Linked DNA regions of Diceros bicornis minor. The protein of the gene in region 1 purifies or fractionates together with the protein of each later gene. This does not show direct contact. Links are inferred from orthologs where the notes say so. Each region holds a gene or a part of one and is shown in the gene's direction. Other genes may lie near its edges.

Region 1 (7,313 bases):
GGCAGCCTATAATTTGGTTTCTAGGACCTAATGCACTGGGAGAGTTGTTGCCTCTGAGGACTGTGAGTGAAACGAGGGCACTGGCCCATTCCAGTCAGTCAGACCCTGGTAGGCCGGTTTGGTTTTTGGCTTGGGGAAAAAAAAACACTCAGATCAACAGGAAGGTTATGCCTTTTTAGTGTCAGATGCTCTTAAATTTTCTTGAGGGTAGGAATGAGTCCAGATTTTTGGAATTATTCACTGTGACCAGTGGGATGGCCAGAACTCCAGGGGCCTGCAGAATCTGGAAGTTCTAAGATAATGGTTCTATGGCAATAAAGTCTCCATTTTATAAAATCTAAGGGGAAAGGAGGCCCTGGTGTCTAGTGACTACACTGGCCTGGGCCTCTCCCAAGGCAGCCTTCGGCCTGATGAGGAGCTGGAATCCCCTCTGGCTTTTGTAGCCTGTCATGTCAGAGCATTCCAAATCAGCCTGAGGAGGAAAAGGCTGTTGCTGGGATTTGGTGGGGCCTGTAGATCTGGAGTTTTCTTATGTATGCCTCCAGCTCAATCAGCATCTCTTAGAGTGTAATGGTAAACTCTGAAGAATCTTTAAGCTGGAGGACAGAAAACAAATTTGGGTTGCATCCATTTTCTAAGTGACCTGTTAGACTGCCCCTTTTCTCTCTTTAAAGAGAAAATGGTTTACCTCGGTTTGGCCATCCCTCTTCTGCAGTGGTCCCTTTGAACACTCAGGTTCCTCCAGTCCTGGGAGCCTTTTCTGTGGTCTGTTTATAGTCTTACAGGTACTATCTTTGGAGACTGGGGCTATTGTTCATTGTGGGCTAAGTTCTCTTAGGAGGCAAAGATGGAGCTTGGGTTCTTCTGCTAGAAGGCTGTCATATGCCCCCAAAGTAGCTTCAGTGGCAACTATTTCAAGTCAGTGTTGAGATGACCAGCTTTGATCTCAAACCCATTCTGATACTCTTATCCCATTGTTGGATATGGCACAATCCACAAAGTGGATTGACCACTTTTTTTTTTTAAAGCTAAGTGGACAAGGGCAGCTTTGGGGATTCTGCTACTTTTTAAAGCCGCCCTCTGACTTTAAGTGACAGGGCAGTCCTCTCCTCTCTGTTTATTAATTCTGTAAAATGGGTATATTCAGACCTCATGCCCCCAGGGCCTTGTGAGGACAGGCTAATGAGGGCAGGGGAGTGGGAAAATGGAAAGTCTGAACAATGATCTGTCATTCCATTCGGCTTGCCAAGGGGGTACAACGTAAGGCCCCACTTTGCTCACTCAGCTGGGTCTTTAGAGCGGGTTTCTAAAAGGCTTTGAAGAAGAAAAGTGCTGTAGAGGTGCTAAGAAGCAGCCAAGAGACCAGGCCCGCTGCCAGGGGGTCAGGCCTGGGCCGAGGCGGCCGCGGTCTCGGGCTCAGGCCAATTTTGCAGCCGCGAGTAAAGTTCACGCCGCCCGCTCCTCTCAGTGCGGCCTGGAGGGGACCGACCCGGATAGGAACGCCAGGAGGGAGGCGGCGCAGGCTCCGGAGACGCGCGAGCTCCGGGCCGGGTTTTCCCCGAAGCCTTCGGCGGCGGCGCTGCCGAGCGAAAGCGGCAGAGGGCCTGCCGCCGCCGCGGCTCGTTCTCTCCCCTCCTCCTTTGTGAGGGGAAGGGAGCGAGTCCGTTCCACGGCCTGCGCCCGCTCCGCACTCCGTTCCGGGTTTGCCAGGCGGCCGCGACGGCGCTGGGTAAAATGGCAGTGCTGAGCCTCGTGTCGGAGTGAGGGGGACTCGGAGGAGAGTGGGGCGCTCTAGCCGCTCAGTCCGGCCGCCCGCCCGCTCGCCCGCCCGCTGCCGCGCAGCAGCCTCGGCCGGCGCCGCGGCCGGGGAGGGGAGGCAGGGCGTCCGGTCCAGCCTGCGCTCCGACTCTGCCTCCCGGCACCCGGGCTGCTGCCGCGCGCCCTCCAGCCCGCCCGTCCCGGGTCCCCCTCCCCCCGCTCCCTCCCTCCCTCCCCGCCCCCTCCCCCTCGCCTCCCTCCCTCCCTCCCTCCTCCTTTCTCCGGCAGCAGAAAGCGGAGAGTCACAGCGGGGCCAGGCCCTGGGGAGCGGAGCCTCCACCGCCCCCCTCATTCCCAGGCAAGGGCTTGGGGGGAATGAGCCGGGAGAGCCGGGTCCCGAGCCTACAGAGCCGGGAGCAGCTGAGCCGCCGGCGCCTCGGCCGCCGCCGCCTCCTCCTCCTCCGCCGCCGCCAGCCCGGAGCCTGAGCCGGCGGGGCGGGGGGGAGAGGAGCGAGCGAGCGCAGCGCAGCAGCGGAGCCCCGCGAGGCCCGCCCGGGCGGGTGGGGAGGGCAGCCCGGGGGACTCAGCCCCGGGGCGGGGTGGGAGGGGGGGAGAAGACGAAGACAGGGCCGGGTCTCTCCGCGGACGAGACAGCGGGGATCATGGCCGCGCAGGTCGCCCCCGCCGCCGCCAGCAGCCTGGGCAACCCGCCGCCGCCGCCCTCGGAGCTGAAGAAAGCGGAGCAGCAGCAGCGGGAGGAGGCAGGGGGCGAGGCGGCGGCGGCAGCGGCCGAGCGCGGGGAAATGAAGGCAGCCGCCGGGCAGGAAAGCGAGGGCCCCGCCGTGGGGCCGCCGCAGCCGCTGGGAAAGGAGCTGCAGGACGGGGCCGAGAGCAATGGGGGTGGCGGCGGCGGCGGAGCCGGAGGCGGCGGCGGGCCCGGCGCGGAGCCGGACCTGAAGAACTCGAACGGGAACGCGGGCCCTAGGCCCGCCCTGAACAATAACCTCACGGAGCCGCCCGGCGGCGGCGGTGGCGGCAGCAGTGATGGGGTGGGGGCGCCTCCTCACTCAGCCGCGGCCGCCTTGCCGCCCCCAGCCTACGGCTTCGGGCAACCCTACGGCCGGAGCCCGTCTGCCGTCGCCGCCGCGGCGGCCGCCGTCTTCCACCAACAACATGGCGGACAACAAAGCCCTGGCCTGGCAGCGCTGCAGAGCGGCGGCGGCGGGGGCTTGGAGCCCTACGCGGGGCCCCAGCAGAACTCGCACGACCACGGCTTCCCCAACCACCAGTACAACTCCTACTACCCCAACCGCAGCGCCTACCCCCCGCCCCCCCAGGCCTACGCGCTGAGCTCCCCGAGAGGTGGCACTCCGGGCTCCGGCGCGGCGGCGGCCGCCGGCTCCAAGCCGCCTCCCTCCTCCAGCGCCTCCGCCTCCTCGTCGTCGTCGTCCTTCGCTCAGCAGCGCTTCGGGGCCATGGGGGGAGGCGGCCCCTCCGCGGCCGGCGGGGGAAACCCCCAGCCCACGGCTACCCCCACCCTCAACCAACTGCTCACGTCGCCCAGCTCAGCCCGGGGCTACCAGGGCTACCCCGGGGGCGACTACGGCGGCGGGCCCCAGGACGGGGGCGCCGGCAAAGGCCCGGCGGACATGGCCTCGCAGTGCTGGGGGGCTGCTGCTGCGGCGGCGGCGGCGGCGGCAGCCGCCTCGGGAGGGGCCCAACAAAGGAGCCACCACGCGCCCATGAGCCCCGGGAGCAGCGGCGGCGGGGGCCAGCCGCTCGCCCGGACCCCGCAGGTACACAGCTGAGTGGGGGAGGGGGCTGGGGCGAGCGGGGTCCTGGGAGTGGGTGGCGGCTGCGGAGAGCAGGCCGCAGCCGTGGGCTACCCCTAGTCCGGGGCCCCCATTACTGGGGAGCTGCCATTGTCTGGCTCTTCTCTCTTAAAATGGCTGCCTGTCTGCCTTCCTCTCCTTCTCTCCTTCAGCCTTTGTGTGGGGCTTTCCCTGAGGTGTCTGCTCCCCTTCTCCCTCTCCCCTGGTCCCTCCGAACTCCGAGGATCTTCAAGGGGGTGCGGGGCAGAGTGTGCGGGGAAGGGTCCTGCCTGGGGTGAGGGGGTTCTGGGGGCTTAGGCTAGGGGTGTAGGCAGTGGTAGGAGCTCGGAAGTTGAGTGAACAGTTCTTTGCTCACCTGCCGTTCCTCTCTGCCCCCCCTGCCTTCCTCTAGGCCGTCCCCCATCTGTGCTTTCAAGGAGGGGCCCCTCGGGCTCGAGGGGACCTCGAAGGAGGGCAGGGGCCTGCTTGGGGGCAGCTAGAGGCCGGCTGCGGTTCACCCGGGGCAGCCCGGGCCATCTCTTGTCTTAGTCTCCGTCGGCCCAGTGGCCTGGGCTTCTCCCTGGAAGTGCTGGTAAACAGCTGAGTGATTGGAGTAGTAAGTGCAGATTGCTTTGGTTTGGGATTTGAATTATGGAGGTAAAATCCTTCTGTCAAAGCCAGGAGACAGTTGGTCTTAGGTTGACATCCTATCTGTGATCTGATTGGCTCCCCATCTCCTGCTCTTGGCCATTTATAATTGCCTCTGATGTAATGGTACAACAATCCTGATGAGCTCATAAACTTTTACACTCTGCTTTTCTGCCAGTGATAACCCAAACCATCGCTGCCACTATCTGCCTTTTATTCCAGAACTGAAATTGGCTGTGACCTTGAGGAGGGAGGTTTAAGCAGCAATACTGTATCAGCAGGAGCAGAGCCCTAGACAGGCTGCCCTTGTTACATTGTGCCCGAAACAAAAGAGGAGGCAGTGGCATTTTGCGTGTACCTTGGATTTATTTTGCTTGTTATGTTTTATGCAGCCTGAAATAGATTCTGTGTTGTCAGAACAGTAGCTGAGTTTTTCTCTACAATGGGTTTGCTGTTTGTTTTGGTTTTGTGACTTTCCTGATAGTATAAATGACTTCTTTGATAGCTCTGAAGATGCATTTGTCTTGAGTAATTTTGACCCTGTTGGCTTTGCAGAATTGAAATTATTTTACTGGGCTGTTTATTGAGTGGCAAACTAGGATCTTTATGAGAGGGGATAGGGGAATTTTTTTTTTTTTTTTTTGAGAACTGTAAGTTTTCTGAGAGAGATTTCTTATTAGGTTCAAGTGTTTTAAGGATGGCTGGTCTCATTCTTTAGGTGTTGAATCTTGTTAACACTTTTCTTTTGTTAACTGAACTTTGGGAGAGCAGCTCAATTTAAAGGGAAGCTAACATCTTTCATGATCTTGAGAGGGACTTTCTCCTAAAGCCTTGGTTTGGTGAAATTTGTCCTTTGTTCCTGGAATATCAAAAAGGCCAATTTTCTTTTTTGTCATCAGTCGTTTTAAAGCTTTGAAATAGAGGTTGACCAGTTTTTCTCTCTGCATTTTAAAGTATGTTCCGTTTTTTTCTATCTTCCAAGATAGTAAACGTACATTTTACAATGACACTAAAGATTTGCTTAGAAATGACAACTTTTAGGTATGTTTTTATGCATTCTATCTTACTGTTGTTTTGCTCTTCTTCCGTCTTCATTGTTTTCTGTCTTCAGTGCTTTGGTCAGGAATATTGGGTGGTCTATGGAGTCATGTAACTTTTCAAAGAGGTAAAAAAGCTCTGTTCGTGTCCCCTCCTCCCAGCAGTACCCAATTGTACCTTTGTGCTACAAGATTTTGTTTACTTAGGCGGGCTAATTAGCTGTATTCCCTCCCCATCCTAGGACTGCTTTTCTACTCTTCCATTGAGCTGGGAATTTTGAAAATAGTTGTGTTAGATGGCAGGTTTAGAGTTCTGTGTCTTGACTCCATGTTTTCCATGATGTTCTACATCTGGGCAAGAAATAGGAGACTTTTAAATCGGATTTCTAGTGTCTAGAGGATCAGTTTGGTCTTAGAAAACAAAACATCATCTTGTCTCTGGGTCATTCTATAGTCTACACCTCATTCTTTCCCCTTTTTGGGGGAGGTGGCTGAGATATTTATCTTTCTTAAACTATTAGAGGAAATTATTTGAGGTAAGTCCAGGCTCATTCAAAAGCAAAAATTAATTTGAATTCTGCTGGTTTGGGGACATTTGGGCAAATACTTTTTTTTTATAAAACCAACTTCTGCCCTATAGTGGTTTCTGTTTTTCCTTCATTAAACATATATTTGAGCCTTTCTATTTGCTGGATACTATGCTCTGTGCTGGATAAATGATAAGAAAATAGATACAGTCCCTGTTTGGAAGCTTGTCTGTGCTGCCTTTGGGTGAATTTTCTGATTCCCTTTTAACCTCACCAGACCCAGCACTTCACACAACATAGATTCCTCCTGTTCGATTTCAGTTCAGTTCATTCTCTGAGACCCAGAGAATGGGCTGGTGAGCATGCATTTCTGGAAGAGACAGTGCAACTTCCAGTTTTGTGGGCTGCTTCAGATATGTAGTCTAGATGAGGGTTGTAGGTGGATCGATTTTGTTCTGAATTCCTCTTTTCTACTTAAGGACAAACTTCTTGTCTCAGACCATGATGCCCTATTCTTAAGCATTCTTAAATAATAGGGTCTTGCTCTGTCCCCTTCTTTCCCTAACTCAGTCTTGGATTAAGAGTATTTTACAGAGACTTGATTGACACAGCTAAGGTGGTAATGTTCTCATTTGACTTTGCCTTTATGAAATAAAGACTGGGTGTGTGTATCGTGGCTATGTCTTTCACAGGAGCTGGGAAGATCCCAGCAGACAAACTTTTCCTTTGTTGCTTTCCATAAGTAGTATTGTGTCTCACAGTGTTGAATCCTGCTATTGATGAAATACTTTTCAGTTTCCTGTGCACTGGAACCTCATGTAAAGCTTTTTTATTTGGGATGCTTTTAGCTGTAGTACCTCGAGAGTAGTACCAGCTCACCAAAGTAAAAAATGAGATAGAATATGTAGTCCAGGATCAACATGGATTTGATTGTAGAAGTTTGGCTGTTAGTTCCTGCTATGGAAATATCAAATGATATTTCTGACTCCTGGGAAACAAATACAGGAATCCTGGACTTACCATGGGAATGCCTACTGGCAGAAATTCTGGGCTGGCTGAAATACAGGACTCTTGGAGCTCTCTCAAGTAGGAGGAACTAGGAAAACCATACTGAGGTGGCACTTAGTTGTGGGGGCTTCATGTTTCTCTACTGTCCATGAGAGAACTGCGGGGTGGTGGGGGTTGGGAGGGTGGCGAGAGAACAGGGAAAGCAGCCAGACCAAGGTTGGCTTCTTTGTATTGGGCCCTGTGAGGACTTTTTTAGGTTCCTTCCTTTGTTTATGATACAGAGTAACCATGAAAAGTGGCACCCACTGTAAGAAGATGTCTTGGATTGCATTAACCATTCATATGTTGGCTTGACTCCTATAGGGTGTGATGTCTACAGTAGGCCTTTTGCAAAGAGGTTAGTGAACTTTTTTAAAAGGTGGAAATAGGCTATCAAAGTAATGGTCAGGTCCCTTTTCTCTTCCCACCCCCTAAAAGGTTGTATTGATTGGCTTCAAATCCCAAAATTCTAGAAGCAACTAAAG
Region 2 (7,313 bases), on another chromosome or scaffold:
TGGCCTGTTCCCCAAACACCAAAGCACCTCTGTTTATGAAAACAACGTGCTGCTGCTGCTGCTGCAAGTTGCTGGGGGAGGACCAAGGCTGCCGAGAAACGCCAGAGCTGGGCCTGCGCTTTCCTCACAATTGCGCATCTCCATTCCAGAGATGGAAACCTCCTCCACCCCCACCCCCACCCCAACCCGGCCAGTGGTGAAGGAGCCTTCGCCCTGGAGGAGCTGTAACAGGAGGAGTGGATTAAGGATTGAATTTAGCAACCCAGGAAAGAGGAGCAGTTCACTTCAGTCCCTAGGGTGGGGCATAATGATGAAAGGGATCACACAGGTACTTTACTTAACAAATCTTTTCCAGTATCTAGAACTCACTGTGTGGCAGGCACTGTTCTAAGAGCTTCACAGATATTGTCTTTAATTCTCATAACAACTCTGCGAGGCAGGTGTTGTGTTCATCCCCATTTTACAGATGAGGCACAGAGAGGTTCAGACACAAACGTAACTCAATAACCGCCTTCTTGTAACCCTCGGATCACTCTTTTAACATGTCTAGAATAACAACTAACACTCAGAGAGAGCTGGACTTCCAGTTTCTGGTAATTAGTTATTCAGATGAACTCTCAAGCTGAAAGCAACTAAAAATGCGAGAAAAAGTATTTAAAAACATCCTAAAAGCTACTACATGCTGACAAGATAGTAAGGAGTAGCCGAAATTGAAGGAAAAAGAGAACACTGAAAGATAATCGGCAAGGATGCCACTTTAATCCTGCAGATAATTGCCAAGCCTAAAATATTCAAACTTAAGTGTGAATGGCTTTTTTGAGGGAACAGCCCAGAAATCAGAGTCCAGGGGCCACACTAGGTGGGAGACAAGACCTTGCCCACGATAATTTAGGACCCCGTCAGCCTCCGCCAGTGGTATGCTGGTAAATATTTACCAACTGGCGCCGGGTGGGGTTGGGGAAAGGGTCCTGATGTATAGATAGCATTTGCCCATTTCCATAGTGTCAATACTCCTGCCATGGCTGATTTCAGACTGTCAGCATGTAGTCACTGAACACAGAGTTGGGAAGCGCAGGCCTGTCAGCCAGCTGCCCCACAACACTGACCCCAACTCAGGGTACAATAAGCAAACCAGTCTTGCTCAATTGAGCAGCTTATATTTGCATCACCTGGGTGGTCCCAGGAACCACAAGCCCTGAACTTGGATGTGGGTGGTCCTGGACCAGCAGTGCCCTCAAGAGCTGGCAGAAGCAAATGTAAAGCATCTCTACAGGAAGGTAACTTCATCCCAGGTCTCCAATTATCCGTACAAATAAATTTTAAGACACAGTGTCCAGCATGGTCCAAGAGAACCAGGCAGATCACAAGGAAATAGGACACCAGCAGCAAGAACCAGCAGAGACAGACCCTCCAAAACCTCAGATACTAGAATTATCAGACACAGACTTTAAAACCACTGTGCTTTGATGAAAGAAAGAAGTTTAAAAATATCTACAGGGGACAGGAAACTATAAAAAGGGACACACTAGATTTATAAAGAACATTTGTAGCAAGTTTTACAGTTTAATCAGAGATCAAAACCACAAATACCTTCAGGGGCCATCTGGTAACACAAATGAGTAAAGTGACTGAGTGACACACAGTGACCTGGAGAGCTCTGTCTGAGTGGCACTGGGCTCCTCCCCTCCAGCTGATTGTTGCCATGTGGCACTGGGGGCCCAGTTTGCAGATCTTCTATTTCTAGAGAAGCTAGATATTCTGATTTCTTTTTCTTGTGGCAAAATACACATAACATAAAATTGACCATTGTAACCATTTTAAAGTGTATAATTCAGTGGCATTAAGTATATTCGCCATGTTGTACAACCATCACCATTATCTACTTCCAGAACTTTTTCATCACCCCAAAAGGAAACCCCATATGCATTAGCAGTCACTCCCCTTCTCCCTCTCCCCTGCCCCTGGGCGACCACCAATCTGTTTTCTGTCTCTATGGGTTTGCCTAGTCTAGATATCTCACATAAGTGGAATCATGCAATATCTGTTCTTTTGTGATCGGTTTCTTTCACTTAGCATGTTTGCAAAGTTCATCCATGTTGTGGCATGTGTCCATACTTCATTCCTTTTTAATGGCTGAATAATATTCCATTGTGTAGACATTGATCAGTTGATATTTGGATTTTTGATATACCTTCCTATTGTAAATTCAAATATATATTTTAAAAAGTTCTGTGTGGCCCTAAGCATATATCTGCTGGCCAGATATAGTCAGAGGGCCAACAGTATGAGACCTCTGTTTTACAACCTGCTGTTACATATTTTCCCATATAACTCTCAGAATGATCCTCTGAGGTGTTTTTTTTTTAATAATTGTATTTATGTACTTTTTCCCCCAAAGCCCCAGTAGATAGTTGTATGTCATAGTTGCACATCCTTCTAGTTGCTGTATGTGGGACGCCGCCTCAGCATGGCTGGAGAAGCAGTGCATCGGTGCGCGCCCGGGATCCGAATCCGGGCCGCCAGCAGCGGAACGCGCACACTTAACCGCTAAGCCACTGGGCCGTCCCTGAGGTAAGTGTTCTTATCTTCATTTTTCACATTAGGTACTCCATTTCCCTAGTAGCTCTTCTCCCCAAACCCAAAACCTCAGGGGAAACTGCTTGATTCTAGAATAAGTGGGATTCAGAGACCTAGCTTATGGCTGTGACCTTGAACTTCCCTGAGACTCAGTTTCCCCGCGTGTAAAATGACTGGTGTTGGGCTAGTTTATCTCCAAGGCACTGGGCTTTCCCCGGCCTCCATCTGGGGAAACTAGGGCATGAATAAGTTCTGGTCAAGTCGGTTTAGCTGCTGCGAACACCAACACGAAGATGCGGAGATGCGGCACCTGCGTTATCCTGATAGTAATTGTAGATTCCTCCCAGAGCTGTCCTGAGGCAGGATGGGGAAGAAACCACCTCAGAAGTCCTCCTTGTAGGCGGGCCGGTCCATTTTCCCTGCTTGGGTCATTTGTGCGGTAGCAGCTTCTGGTCTGAGCCTGGGACTGAAGTCAGAGGAGTCGCTTAAATTTAAGTGGTGGTTCCCTTACGGAAACCCCAGCGCGGGCCCCTCACCTCACTTATGTTGAAGGCAACTTATCTCCAGGGGGAAAAGAAGCGCCCCTGTTGAAATGCTGATAATCATTGAGCCTTTCCTGCGCCGAAAACTATTTAATAAGCAAAGTCGAATGTCCCTCGTGGTCTGCCTCACCCCAGGCACCTTTCCTCCGACCCGAGTTTTCCGAAAGGACGAAGGAAAGGGAAGCGACGTCCTACTCGCGTATTTAAAGGGGGCACCGGGCCAGCAGAGATCCGTGTTTCTCAACTCTTTCCAAGAGCACCTCGCGTCCCGAGTCGCCGCCTTCAACTCGGAGAAGTCAGGAGCCCCACAGGAAACTTGCATTATTGCACCCGCCGCCACAAACCCGGGCCAGCGGACGGGCAGGCGAGCTGGCTCCCACGGAGTGCGCCCCCTCCACGGCCGGCCGCCCCGCGGGCCCGCCCTCCCCGGGGGACCCCTCGGCACCTGCGGCCTCCGAGTAAGTGTCTGCGCGCACGTCCGCCCGCCCGCCCGCCTCCCCCTCCGCGGGCCCGGAGCCGGGGGTCGCCGGGAGCCCTCGCCGCCTCCCCGGGGAGGGGGGTCGCGGGCGCCTCCCCGCGTGGGTGAGGGGGCTCGTGGGGCTGCCCGGCGGCGGCGGCGCCCGGAGGCCGCACTGCTGGCGGCCGCGGCGGCGCTGCTCCCCCTGCTCGGTGCAGCTGCCGCCCGGCGCTTGCGCACTGGGCCCCGGGCGCGCGGCGGCACCAGGCTTTGTGTGTGTGTATGTGTGTGTGAGTGTGTGTGTGTGTCTGTGTGTGTGAGTGAGTGAGCGGGCGGGCGGGCGCGAGTGTGGCCGCCGCGGAGCGCGAGCAGGACCCGGCGGGCGCGCTCCCCAGCCTCTCTCTCCCCGCCAGAACCATGTCGGGCAGGTCGGTTCGAGCCGAGACCAGGAGCCGGGCCAAAGATGATATCAAGAGGGTCATGGCGGCTATCGAGAAAGTGCGCAAATGGTAAGCGGAGGCGCCTCCTCGCTCGCTCCCTCGCCGGCGCCGCGGCCGCCCCGAACCCCGAGCCCCCATACAAAAAACCGGCGGGGCGCAGCGCCCCGGGCCGCCGCGGGCCCAGGAGTTGGAGAGGACGGGCGGCGCGCGAGCCCGGTCACCTGCGCCAGGCGGGGGCCGCGGCCGCTGCCCAGGTGCGCTCGCGCCTGTCGCCCACCTGGCGCGGCGGCGGCGGAGCCTGGAGACGGCGGGCGCCCGGGGCCGGGCGGTGGACGGCGGGCAGTCCTCGCCGCGGCGCTCGGCTCCCGGGAGGGGGGCTCGGGGCCGGCCCCAGAAGCCATTTCGTTTTGTGCAAGTCACATGAAAGCGGCTTCCCGCGCGCCGGGGCCGTGATGCCGGCGGCGGAGGGGAGAGCGCGAGCTCCATTGTGCAGGCACCGAGCGGGCCGCCGCCGTCTCCGTCTCCTCCCCGCGCGCCCCGGGCGGCGCAGCGCCGGCCCCCGCGCCCTTGCCCGCGCCGGCCTCCCTCGCTCCCTCCCTCCCTGCGCGCTGGCTCGCCCGCTCGCTCCCCGCCTCCCAGGCCCGGCGCCCTCGAGTCTGCGGAGTTTGCAGAGCGCGAGCCGTTTAAATTTAGCGCTTTGGGCTGCCTGGAGCGAGGGCTCTCGGCGAGGAAGAAAGATGGGGGCGAGCGCGGGGAGGAAACGCCGGCGGCGGCCGCGGGCCCCGGGCGCTGGGCACCCTCCACCCCGCTCAGCCGGGCACCGCGCGCGGGGACTCGGGGGCTCGGGCGAGCGAGTATTTTTGGCCAGAAACCGGTCGTGGGCCGCGTCTGCCTTTCCCAAACCCGCGGCTCGTGTTTGTTTTGCGGAGAGAGCCGTTGTTTTTGTTCTCGGCCCGGGGGGAAGGGGGCTTCGGGGGTGGCCATGCGTGTTCCTCAGGCTCGCGTTGGGTTCTGCCCGGCGTGGCCTCGTTGTAATTAACACGAGCGAACGATGCGCGGCCTCCGCGGGTCTGACTCGGGGTCGGCCCGAGAGGCAGGCCGGAGGCGCGAGCACATCGCCAGGTTGGGGCAGACTTGTTGAAAACTCCCAGTTCCCTGATTTCAACTTTATTATTTTTTTCCCACGGCTTCTCCAGGGTCGGGGAGGGAGAGGAGCAGCCGCGACGTGCTCGGGTGTCAGCGCCCGCGGGCTCGTCCTGACCCTTTATTTAGAGCCTAAAAACTGGGCCGGCCCCGTGGCGGGTATGTTTATGGGTAGGGGTGTCATTTTTTGAGTAACGCCTTGGTCTCTAAAAACCGCTGGGGGCGAGCCTCCGGTCTAACCGTGTCACAAGTTAGCTGTCCTTTCTGAGTCAAACCCAACAAAAAAGGCAAGAGGAAAATCAATAAAGTCCACGTGCTCCCCGGCCTCCTATGGAAAGGGCTGTCTGCAGATGGCCGGATGCCCGGCCGAGGGCTGGGTTTGGCTCCAATGGGACAAAGAATTTTCAGAACCGTGAGAAGGGGAGGCCTTCCAAAGTTGAGATCCAAGTCTTCGGTACTGTGGGAGCTCCCCCGGCGTGCAGGGCGCCCAGTGCCCGACTGAAGCCATTTAAAAATGGCAGAAACAGCTGCAGGCCAAAACACACACAGGAAAACAAGCCCACAACCCCCTCTCCTACCGGATCCCCAGAGGGAAGGCTGGAGTTGTCCCCTGCCTTAGCGCCTGTGCAAAGAAAGAACTGGTGTCTGGGCCTGTAGGTGAGAAAGGGGCTGGGGACAAGCTGCCTTTCTCTGTTCCAGGAGGCATGGTGGGGCCTTCTGCCCCAGGTTCCCAGCCGGGCAGAGGCCCCTGCACCCTGACAGCTGCTCCTGTAGGGCCCGCCCACCAGCTGCTCTGCAGGGAGGGCAGATGGAGCTATGGGGTTTTGCACCCTGCTGGGCCCCAGAGCAGCCCGCCTGGAGGCCTTCAGTGCTGCTGAACCCACTGTGGGCCAAGCATGTGTTTGTGGGGAGGGGAGGAGAGCATGTCTCCCTTCCTCCTCCTGTTTTGGGAAACAACATGTCACGTCCTCTAAGGACCTCAGGCTTTGGGATCTCATGGCTGGGTTTCCAGTTCACCCCCTTCCTGTGACCTTGGGCAAAGCATGTAACTTCTCTAACCATGGCAGCGAGGGGGGTCCTGCACTGTCTCCCCTCCTGGGGTAAGATTGTGTCCCCAGAGCACTTATCTCTGCACACAGGAGGCGTCATTAAATGCACTCCTTATTGTAAAGTGGGCTCTGTGGAAACTTGCATTTTGCTGATTTTTTTCTTTTTTTTCTGCCCCTTGTAAGCAAAAAAGACTTCACCTTATTTCCTGGGTTTCTGCAGCCCGGAGAAGCCAAATCTCACCTTTGCTGTGCCTTTAGAACGGGTCTTCCAGTCGGTCCTGGAGGCTCTGGGTTGTTTATTAACTGCGTGGCCACCAACCATGCATTTCACCACTGTCTGGGACGCTCGGTTGCCAGATTAGCAAATAAAATTACAGGACACCCAGTTAAATTTGAATTTCAGATAAACAATGAAATAACTTTAAAAAAATTTTTTGGGGGATGGGTATAAGTATGTCCCATGCCATATTTGGGACATACTTATACTAAAAGATTATTCGTTGTTTATCTGAAATTCAAATTTAATTTGACATCCTGTGTTTTATCCAGAGGAGAACGGAAGTGTCTGGCATACCGTTCAGCATGTAAGCCTGGGGTGGTGTTTCACCTCAGCCCCAGTGACCCCTAAAAATCCCCTGCCAGCCCTACCCTTCCCCTGCCCCTGGAAAAAGCCAGCAGCCAGCTGTGGCCACCCCATCGGTAGCTGCCAGCCGTCTCGCCTCTCCTTGCTGTCTGGTGTCGCAGTAAGGCAGGCTGGTAGGGTGTGAGGCAGCCAGAAGATGGCCGAAGGAAGAACAAAATGGTCGGCCACTTTTGGGAAACTGGGCCAGGGTGAGGAGACCCAGGGTGGGTGGAAGAGAGCAGGGGAGGGGGAGTCCTTGGGGGGAGGCAAAGGCTTGAGCTGTGAAGTAGACTTAGGCTGGGGACCCCTGGACCTTGGTCTGAAGGGTCCCTCAGTGTCTTGTAAAGATAGAGAGAGGCCTGTTCCCCGAGGACTTCCCACCTGTCCCTGGGGGAGAGGGAGGTTTGTGCCTGGGGCCTCGCCTCGGTGCCTCCAGGGGTAGGGGCACACAGTAGGGCCAGTGGGCCTGGTTAGGATAAGGCC
Region 3 (7,313 bases), on another chromosome or scaffold:
CCCGCCCCCACCTGAGTTTCCCACCGCCAGTCCCTATCCTTAACAGCCTCGACTTTCGTCTCCTGTTGTTATTCACTAGCTCCTGGGGCCCAAAGACTTCCTCCCCTAACCCTACCCCTCCCTCTGGCCCCCAGCTCCGATTCTTTCCCAATACTCGGAGAAGATCCAGGCGTCCTGCCCCAGCCACGACCCCAGTCCTCCCCCAGGGTGTACTCGAACCGGTGATCTAACTCCTGAGCCCAACTCCCTGAAGGCACAGCCCCAGGCCTCCTCTACCTCTAAACTCTGGCGCTTGCTGTTTCCCACAGCTCACCCACAGCTCATCTGCTCGTTACCCTGACACCGGGGCCTTGCTCTCCCCCGCTCAGGCTGCTCCCTTCCCGGACCCGGGGGTGGCGGGGACCCAGACCCCAGCTTCCGGCCCTTCTGACCTTTGTTCCCCTCGGGAACTTGGCACCTGGCCCTTCAGCCCCTTACCCAGACTTCCCTCCCTCCGGCTCATGCTGGCCCCTGGCTGATCCCGGTTGCCTCCACGCCCCCGGTCCGAGGGGGGAGAAGGGGAAAAGGGGTAGGGGCGTGGCCCGGACGCAGCCAATCAGGGCTCAGACCCCAAACAATCCCCCTCCCCCGCCAAAGCCTTAGACAGGATTCCTTGGCCCTGAGCTCAGCTCCTTGCCTGCGCGGCCTAGTTGGGAAAGGGGCCTGAGAAGGGCGGCAGGTTGTCCGCATGGTTGACTCGGGACCTCGAGGCTGGGGGTGCCGGGACCTGGGAGGCAGACCTGCGTCACGTCGGGAGGAGGAGGCTCAGGCTCCGACCTGGGGCAAAGGTTGGCCCCCGGGCTGCTTATGGGAAAAAGCTGAGGGGATAGGAGAGGGCGGGGCTGGCAGGACAGGAATGTGCTGGCCCTTCCTCTTGGCTGGGGGGGAGGGAGGAACGGGGTGTGAGAGAGGCCGCGATGGGGGCCCTCAGGCTTGGGCCACACCTGCCCCGGCATACACCTCCTGGCGTGTCTTAGATACCTTCTGCCCTCCTTCTCGTTGTCACATCTACTAGGAGGGAGACAGATACCATCTCACCTCACCTCACCTTACCAGGCCCAGTAAGAGAACCCGTCTGACACACCCACACCTACTGAAGCATTAATGCATACAGACCTTCATTCTCACACAGGAACAAGCTTAAGAGACAGGTACAGGGGGTCATACCTGTATGTCAACCCCACTAACCTGGTGCAAACACACTTATCCCCACAGATGGTTCCCAAGCACCCACTCTGTCCTGGGCTCTGGGACCCAGAGATGATCCATACTTGGTCTCTGGCCCCCTGAGGAGCTCACAGAATGTTGGGGGAGACCATAGGCAACAGCAGGTAATGAGGTTTGTGAGTGAAGGGACTAGGAAGGAGGCCTGTGTGTCTGTGAGGATATTGCCATGAGCAGACAACTGCCAGAATAAAGTAAGAAAGAGATTAACTGGCAGAGGGCACAGCAGGTGCAACTGATGGTAGGGGCCACAATCACACACTTATTAACAGTGACTATTTCTTGGGTATTTACAATATGCAAGGCACTGTTCTAAGAGCTATATACATATTAATTCAGTCCCATGTTATAGTTGAGGAAATAGAGATAAGTGACTCGTCCAAGGTCACTGGACAAGCAGAGCTGGGATTATACTTCGGCAGTTTGGCTCCAGAAATGCTGTCATAACCACCTTCCTATACCTTAACCCCTCTGGACATAGTCACACCAAAACACACAGACACCATAGCTACGTAATAGCTAAACACATGCACACACAGCAACACAAACTTAGACATGTCATATCTGCTGGCAAACAGCCTCAAAATCAACCAAGATACATTTTAAGTAAACTTTTAATTGAAGTATAATATACATAGGGAAAAGCGCACACATTGTAAGTGTACAGCTCAATGTATTTTCAGAGTAAACATCCCCAGGGAATCAGCACCAGGTTAAGAAACAGAATAGGACCAGTTCCCCGAGCCCCCTCTCAGCCCCTCCCAGTCCCAAGGATGACCACTATCCTGACTTCTCACACCATAAATTAGTTTTGCCTTTTTTTTGAACTTCATATGAATGGAATCATACAATGTTTACTGTTGAATCTGACTTCTTTCATGAGATTTGTCCCTGTGGTTGGGTGTAGCAGGACATCATTCTCTTGCTGTGTCCATGGTGTGAACAAGCTATAGTTCATTTTCCACTCTCCTGTTGATGGGTTGTTTCCAGTTTGAGGCTAATATGAATACTGCTATGAACATTCCAGTACACTCTCTTGGTGCTCATACCTACGCATTTCTGTTGACGACCTGGGAGTGGAATTGCTAGATCATAGGGTCGGTGTATGTTCGTCTCCACTAGAAAACTACCAATTTACACTCCCCCAGAAATAGGAGAGGTCCAGTTGCTCTACTTCTTGGCCTGCACTTGATATGGTCCGTCATTCTCATTTTAGTCATTCTGGTGGGTGGAGACCCACTCATATTTGCAGTGTCTGGTACGCAATCGTCACTCAGTTAATAGATAGTTGCAAGAATGGATGAAGGAATAGTCGGGCAGGCGGGGGTGGACACACACACACACACACAGCCTTTCAAGGACACTCACGCGCAGCGGACGCGCTCCGGTACCCAGACCGTCTCGCACCCCCCACCCCCACCCCCGGCGTCCACGTGGTCTGAACGCACCGCCTCAGCCCTGCCGCTCTCGTCCACTCCTCGAGCTGCCCCCAACCTCCCTCTCGGCGGCGGGCAGGGGGCGCTGCGCGTCGGGGCGCCCCGAGGGGGCGGGCCCGGTCGGGGCGGGGCCGGCCGGCTTCCAGGCCTGGGCTCTGGCCGCCCGCGCCGCCGGGCCGCTCTGGGGACGGGCCGGGGCGGGGCGCGGCGGCAGGAAGCGGGGCGGGGACTCGTGCAGGCTTTGGGGAGCGAGGGAGGGCGCGGCCAACTCCCGGAGGGACGGCAGGCCGAGAGAGCGGCGTCCCGGCCTGGCGCCGAGCCTGAGCCCGCCGGACGGGAGGCGGCCCAGCCGCGGGCTCGGCCTCGGCCCCAGCCCCGCCAGCATGGCCGGCCGGACCGTGCGGGCCGAGACCCGGAGCCGGGCCAAGGATGACATCAAGAAGGTGATGGCGACCATCGAGAAGGTCCGGAGATGGTGAGCGCTGCCCCGGGGCCGGGGACGGGGCATGGCGGGGCCACTCCTTCCCCAAATGCGTCTACCCTCCTTTCGCCAGCTGTGGCCCCCAGTTGTTAGGTGTGCCCCCTAGCCGCGTCCTGGATCTACAGGGCTGTGTCCCCTTTCTCCTGGCTACACCCTGGGGTGTACAAAGCGTGTTCCCCAGCCATGCCCTCCCAGAGCAAGAGCCCCCATATATGCCCCGCCCCCTAAAGCTTTGACACTCCTCCCGCAAGTATGCCCCGGGATCTTCATTGCTACCCTCTCCAGCCGGCCCGTGGCCGCGCTCCCTATGTATACCCCAGGGGTCTGCAGAGCCATGGCCCATTGGGCCCATGTATGTCCTGGGGTCTGCAGAGCTCTCTTTCTTCCTCTAACTATGCCCTATTAGCAAAACTGCCCCTTCCCTCGTGCACCACCCACACGTCTGCTGGTATCCCCAGATGTGTCCAGTTCCTGGGGGGGATCTCTTTTCAGGCCTCTCTGACCCAATTCCCTCACCCTCCCACAGGGAGAAGCGCTGGGTGACTGTGGGCGACACTTCCCTTCGTATCTTCAAGTGGGTGCCAGTGGTGGACCCCCAGGAGGAGGTGAGCAAGCTCCCCCACACCAGGCCCTGCATCTGTGCAACAGCAGGCAAGCCCCTCCCCACCCTGGCCTCCATCTCCAGTCCCCACTCAGACCTCAAATGCAGCAGCCCAAACAGATGTTAACAATTATTAGCAACTCCACCCCTTCTCCCTTCTTCCTACTCCAGATCCCTGAGTTCAAGACCTAACCTCGTGTGCACAACCTCTGTGACCTCATGCAGGGCCTTTTGCTTCTCTGTGCCTCAGTTTGCTTATTTGTACAGTGGGGGCTTTGCAAGTACTGACTAGAAAGCTGGCTCTGACCCTTACCCTCTAACCCCCAGGAGCGACGGAGGGCAGGAGGTGGGGCAGAGAGATCTCGAGGCCGGGAGCGTCGGGGCAGGGGTGCCAGTCCCCGAGGGGGTGGCCCTCTCATCCTGCTTGATCTCAATGGTATGTAGGGATCCTGGAATTTGGGGGGCTGTGGGGATTGAGTGAGGGGACTGAGGGCCTCAGGCCCAACCCTCTTGGCTTTTGCTCCCACAGATGAGAACAGTAACCAGAGTTTCCATTCGGAAGGCTCCCTGCAAAAGGGCACTGAGCCCAGCCCTGGGGGCACCCCCCAGCCCAGCCGCCCTGTGTCACCTGCCGGACCACCGGAAGGGGTCCTGGAGGACGCTCAGCCCCCGCGGCTGGGCCAGGAGAGAGGTAGGACCAGCTGCCTCCCAGGAGCCCTCTCTTCTGAGTCTTGTCCTCTCCAAAGTTGAAGCCACCAGCTTACTCCTACAGCTGCTCCCTATCCTGTGTTGCCTCCTTAGGGAGGCCTTCCCTGACTCCCGAGGGAAGTCACTGCCCTACCTCTGACAACTGTCTGTCTCCTTCCTCTGGCTTCTTAGGGTCTGTAGATATTTATCACTATTCGAGATTTTCATGTAAATTTAACTTTTTACTACTTAAATGTCTTTCTCTCTGATTCCCACCTCATGTCAGCTTCCTGAATGTTGGGCCCATGTTGATCTTGTTCACTATTGTCTCCTCAGAACAACTTGGGACACATAGTAGGTGCTCAATAAATATTTGTTGAGGAATAAATAATAGTGATAATCCTAAGAGTGATAAATAAGTGCTAATAACATTTACTACTTATTGAGCTCTTGCTGTGTGCCAGGCACCCTTCTAAGCACTTTACGTGTTTTATTTCATTTAATCCTCACTACAACCCTCTGAGGGTTATAATCCTGTTATGATCCCCATTTGTAGACGAGAAACCAAAACCCAGAGAAGTTAAGTGAGTTGCCTAAGCTCACAGCCAATGAGCCAGCATCTTGGGCATGAGTCGTCCTCACTGCTCTTTCTTCCATATAGTCAATCACCCGTCTGGTCAGTGCCACCTCCCAAATATGTCTGCCTTCCTCTCCCTCCCCGGGCTGTCATCTCTCTCACCTGTTCCTGGCTCCAGCCTCCTCATGGGTCTCCTCTCCTCCAGTCGCCCCAGCACAGCTGCCAGAGCAACTAAAGCACAAGTTCGACTGGGTCATTTTCCTGCTCAGAGCCTTCAGTGGCTCCCTATGGCCTTTGACTCTGCAGCTTGGCACTCTGGGCCCTTCCTGAACTGTCCCCTGCTGACCTCATTGTTCCCTTCCAGGAACACCATGCCTTGGGCCTACAGACTGTATCTAGACTGTGCCCGGCACGTGTATACCTTTGCTAACATAAAACCAGTAACTGGCATTTACTGAGCACTAACTGCGTGCCAGACACTGTGCTAAGGGCTTTACCTGTATTCTCTCATTTAATCCTCACATGGTAATTACTATCATTATCTCCATTTTACAGATGGGAAAACTGAGGCCCAGAGAAATTAAGTCAGGTCAGGATTTGAAGCTGGGCAGTCCAGCCCCACAATCTGTGCTGGCTAAGCAAATGTTCCCTCTGCCTAAAATGTGCTCTACCTCCCCATCTGTCTGCCAGATCAAATTCTACTCACCTGTCAAGATCCCACCTAAATGTTATTCCTGTGTCTTCCTCCTGGGTTGCAGCCAGGTTCCTGGCTCCCTCCTCAGTGCTCCCACAGCCTGTGGGCTTATGTGATTGGTGTTTGTTTCCCCCTGGTTTGCGCTATGGCACAGAGCGGCTGCTCAGGGAATGTCTGTTAACTTGACGTTCCAGATCCTGGGGGCATAACTGCAGGCGGCACCGACGAACCCCCAATGCTGACCAAGGAGGAGCCTGTTCCAGAATTGCTGGAGGCTGAGGTGAGAGAGGCCAGAAGGCTGGACTCCTGGGTCTTTGAGGGAATGGGGGCTCTGGGGCAGCCGAAGGCTTGGAGGCTGTACTCCTGAGGTCCAGGCAGGAAATGTAGACCTCAGACGCAGCTAAAGGCTTAGAGGCTGGGTTCTTGGGACTGAAAAGGAAAGGGTGTTTAGAAATAAAGATCTGTGGGCTGGATCGGGGCTGATTTAAGACCATTAAAAGCCTGAAAAGATCATGGTGCTCCTCCAAGTTTTTTTTTTTTAATCCTAAACTATAAAATTAGCTTAAGGGCTGGACCCGTGGCAGCACAGTGGTTAAGTTTGGCGTGCTCCTCTTTGGTGGCCCGGGTTCGGATCCTGGGCGCGGACCTACACCACTCATCAGCCATGCTGTGGCGGTGACCCACATACAAAATAGAGGAAAATTGGCAGAGATGTTAGCTCAGGGCTAATCTTCCTCAAGCAAAAAAACAGAGGAAGATTGGCAACAGGTATTAGCTCAGGGCCAACCTTCCTCAGCCAAATAAATAAATAAATAAAATTAGCTGAAGAAAGTCCCCCATAAACCTCTGATTTTTCCCATAAGGACTACCTTGATGCATTTTCCAGAAATATCAAGTATCAACTTCTTTCCCCAAAACAGTGTTGTGGTTGTTTCCGGTGCCCTATGTAATCTGCATCCCGGGTCCCTGGCCCTGGGCTAGACTCCTGGGTCCGGGAGGGGAGTGGAGTGGAGGCCTTGGAGAAGGCAGAGGCTAGGAGACTGCACTCCTGGGTCTGGGTAGAGCTCATGCCTGTCCACCCTTCCTCTCCAGGCCCCCGAAGCTTACCCTGTCTTTGAGCCAGTGCCACCTGTCCCCGAGGCAGCCCAGGGTGACACAGAGGACTCGGAGGGCGCCCCCCCACTCAAGCGCATCTGCCCAAATGCCCCCGACCCCTGAGAAGCCGGCCTGCCTGTCCTGTCGCCCCCGGGGTCCCTTTGGCTTTTTACAAATAAAGACCCTTTTGTAATTTTGTGTCATGTCATTTCCCCGTCAGGGCTGGGGAGGGTCTTTGGAGACAGTTTTGTCTCATGCTCCATTTCTCAGATGGGGTCACTGAGGCTCTCAGAGGACCTTCCTATAGTCACAGCATGAGTCAGACACAGAATGGGGGCTTGAGCCAGGACCCTGCCTGCCCACACCCCCTCTACCCTGCTCTGTCCCTTACTTTGACTCTTCCTGACCTTCAGCCCTCCTCCTCTGGGAATCCCAGAACTCCTGTTTTTCCTGCTCAGCCCTCCCCCAGGCCCAGCAAT

Evidence for each region.
Region 2: the proteins of ARID1A (region 1) and BCL7A purify together in Homo sapiens (affinity purification with mass spectrometry; 5 studies listed by BioGRID and IntAct, counting the BioPlex papers as one, with this or other methods). This does not show direct contact. The link is inferred for Diceros bicornis minor from reciprocal best matches to the Homo sapiens genes ARID1A and BCL7A.
Region 3: the proteins of ARID1A (region 1) and BCL7C purify together in Homo sapiens (affinity purification with mass spectrometry; 5 studies listed by BioGRID and IntAct, counting the BioPlex papers as one, with this or other methods). This does not show direct contact. The link is inferred for Diceros bicornis minor from reciprocal best matches to the Homo sapiens genes ARID1A and BCL7C.

Annotation. Positions count from the first base shown.
Region 1 is NC_080752.1:42,500,545-42,507,857, forward strand, and holds the start of ARID1A (AT-rich interactive domain-containing protein 1A), read left to right. Parts: upstream 1-2,390; 5' UTR 2,391-2,420; coding exon 2,421-3,554; intron 3,555-7,313. UniProt on the Homo sapiens protein: Involved in transcriptional activation and repression of select genes by chromatin remodeling (alteration of DNA-nucleosome topology).
Region 2 is NC_080774.1:8,031,829-8,039,141, reverse strand, and holds the start of BCL7A (B-cell CLL/lymphoma 7 protein family member A), read left to right. Parts: upstream 1-3,057; 5' UTR 3,058-3,577; intron 3,578-3,830; exon of another isoform or gene 3,831-3,989; 5' UTR 3,990-3,993; coding exon 3,994-4,085; intron 4,086-7,313.
Region 3 is NC_080765.1:21,106,474-21,113,786, forward strand, and holds BCL7C (B-cell CLL/lymphoma 7 protein family member C), read left to right. Parts: upstream 1-2,927; 5' UTR 2,928-3,082; coding exon 3,083-3,174; intron 3,175-3,706; coding exon 3,707-3,785; intron 3,786-4,108; coding exon 4,109-4,217; intron 4,218-4,310; coding exon 4,311-4,472; intron 4,473-5,933; coding exon 5,934-6,019; intron 6,020-6,831; coding exon 6,832-6,957; 3' UTR 6,958-7,027; downstream 7,028-7,313. Other genes in the region: CTF1 (cardiotrophin-1), read right to left, coding at 478-502. UniProt on the Homo sapiens protein: May play an anti-apoptotic role.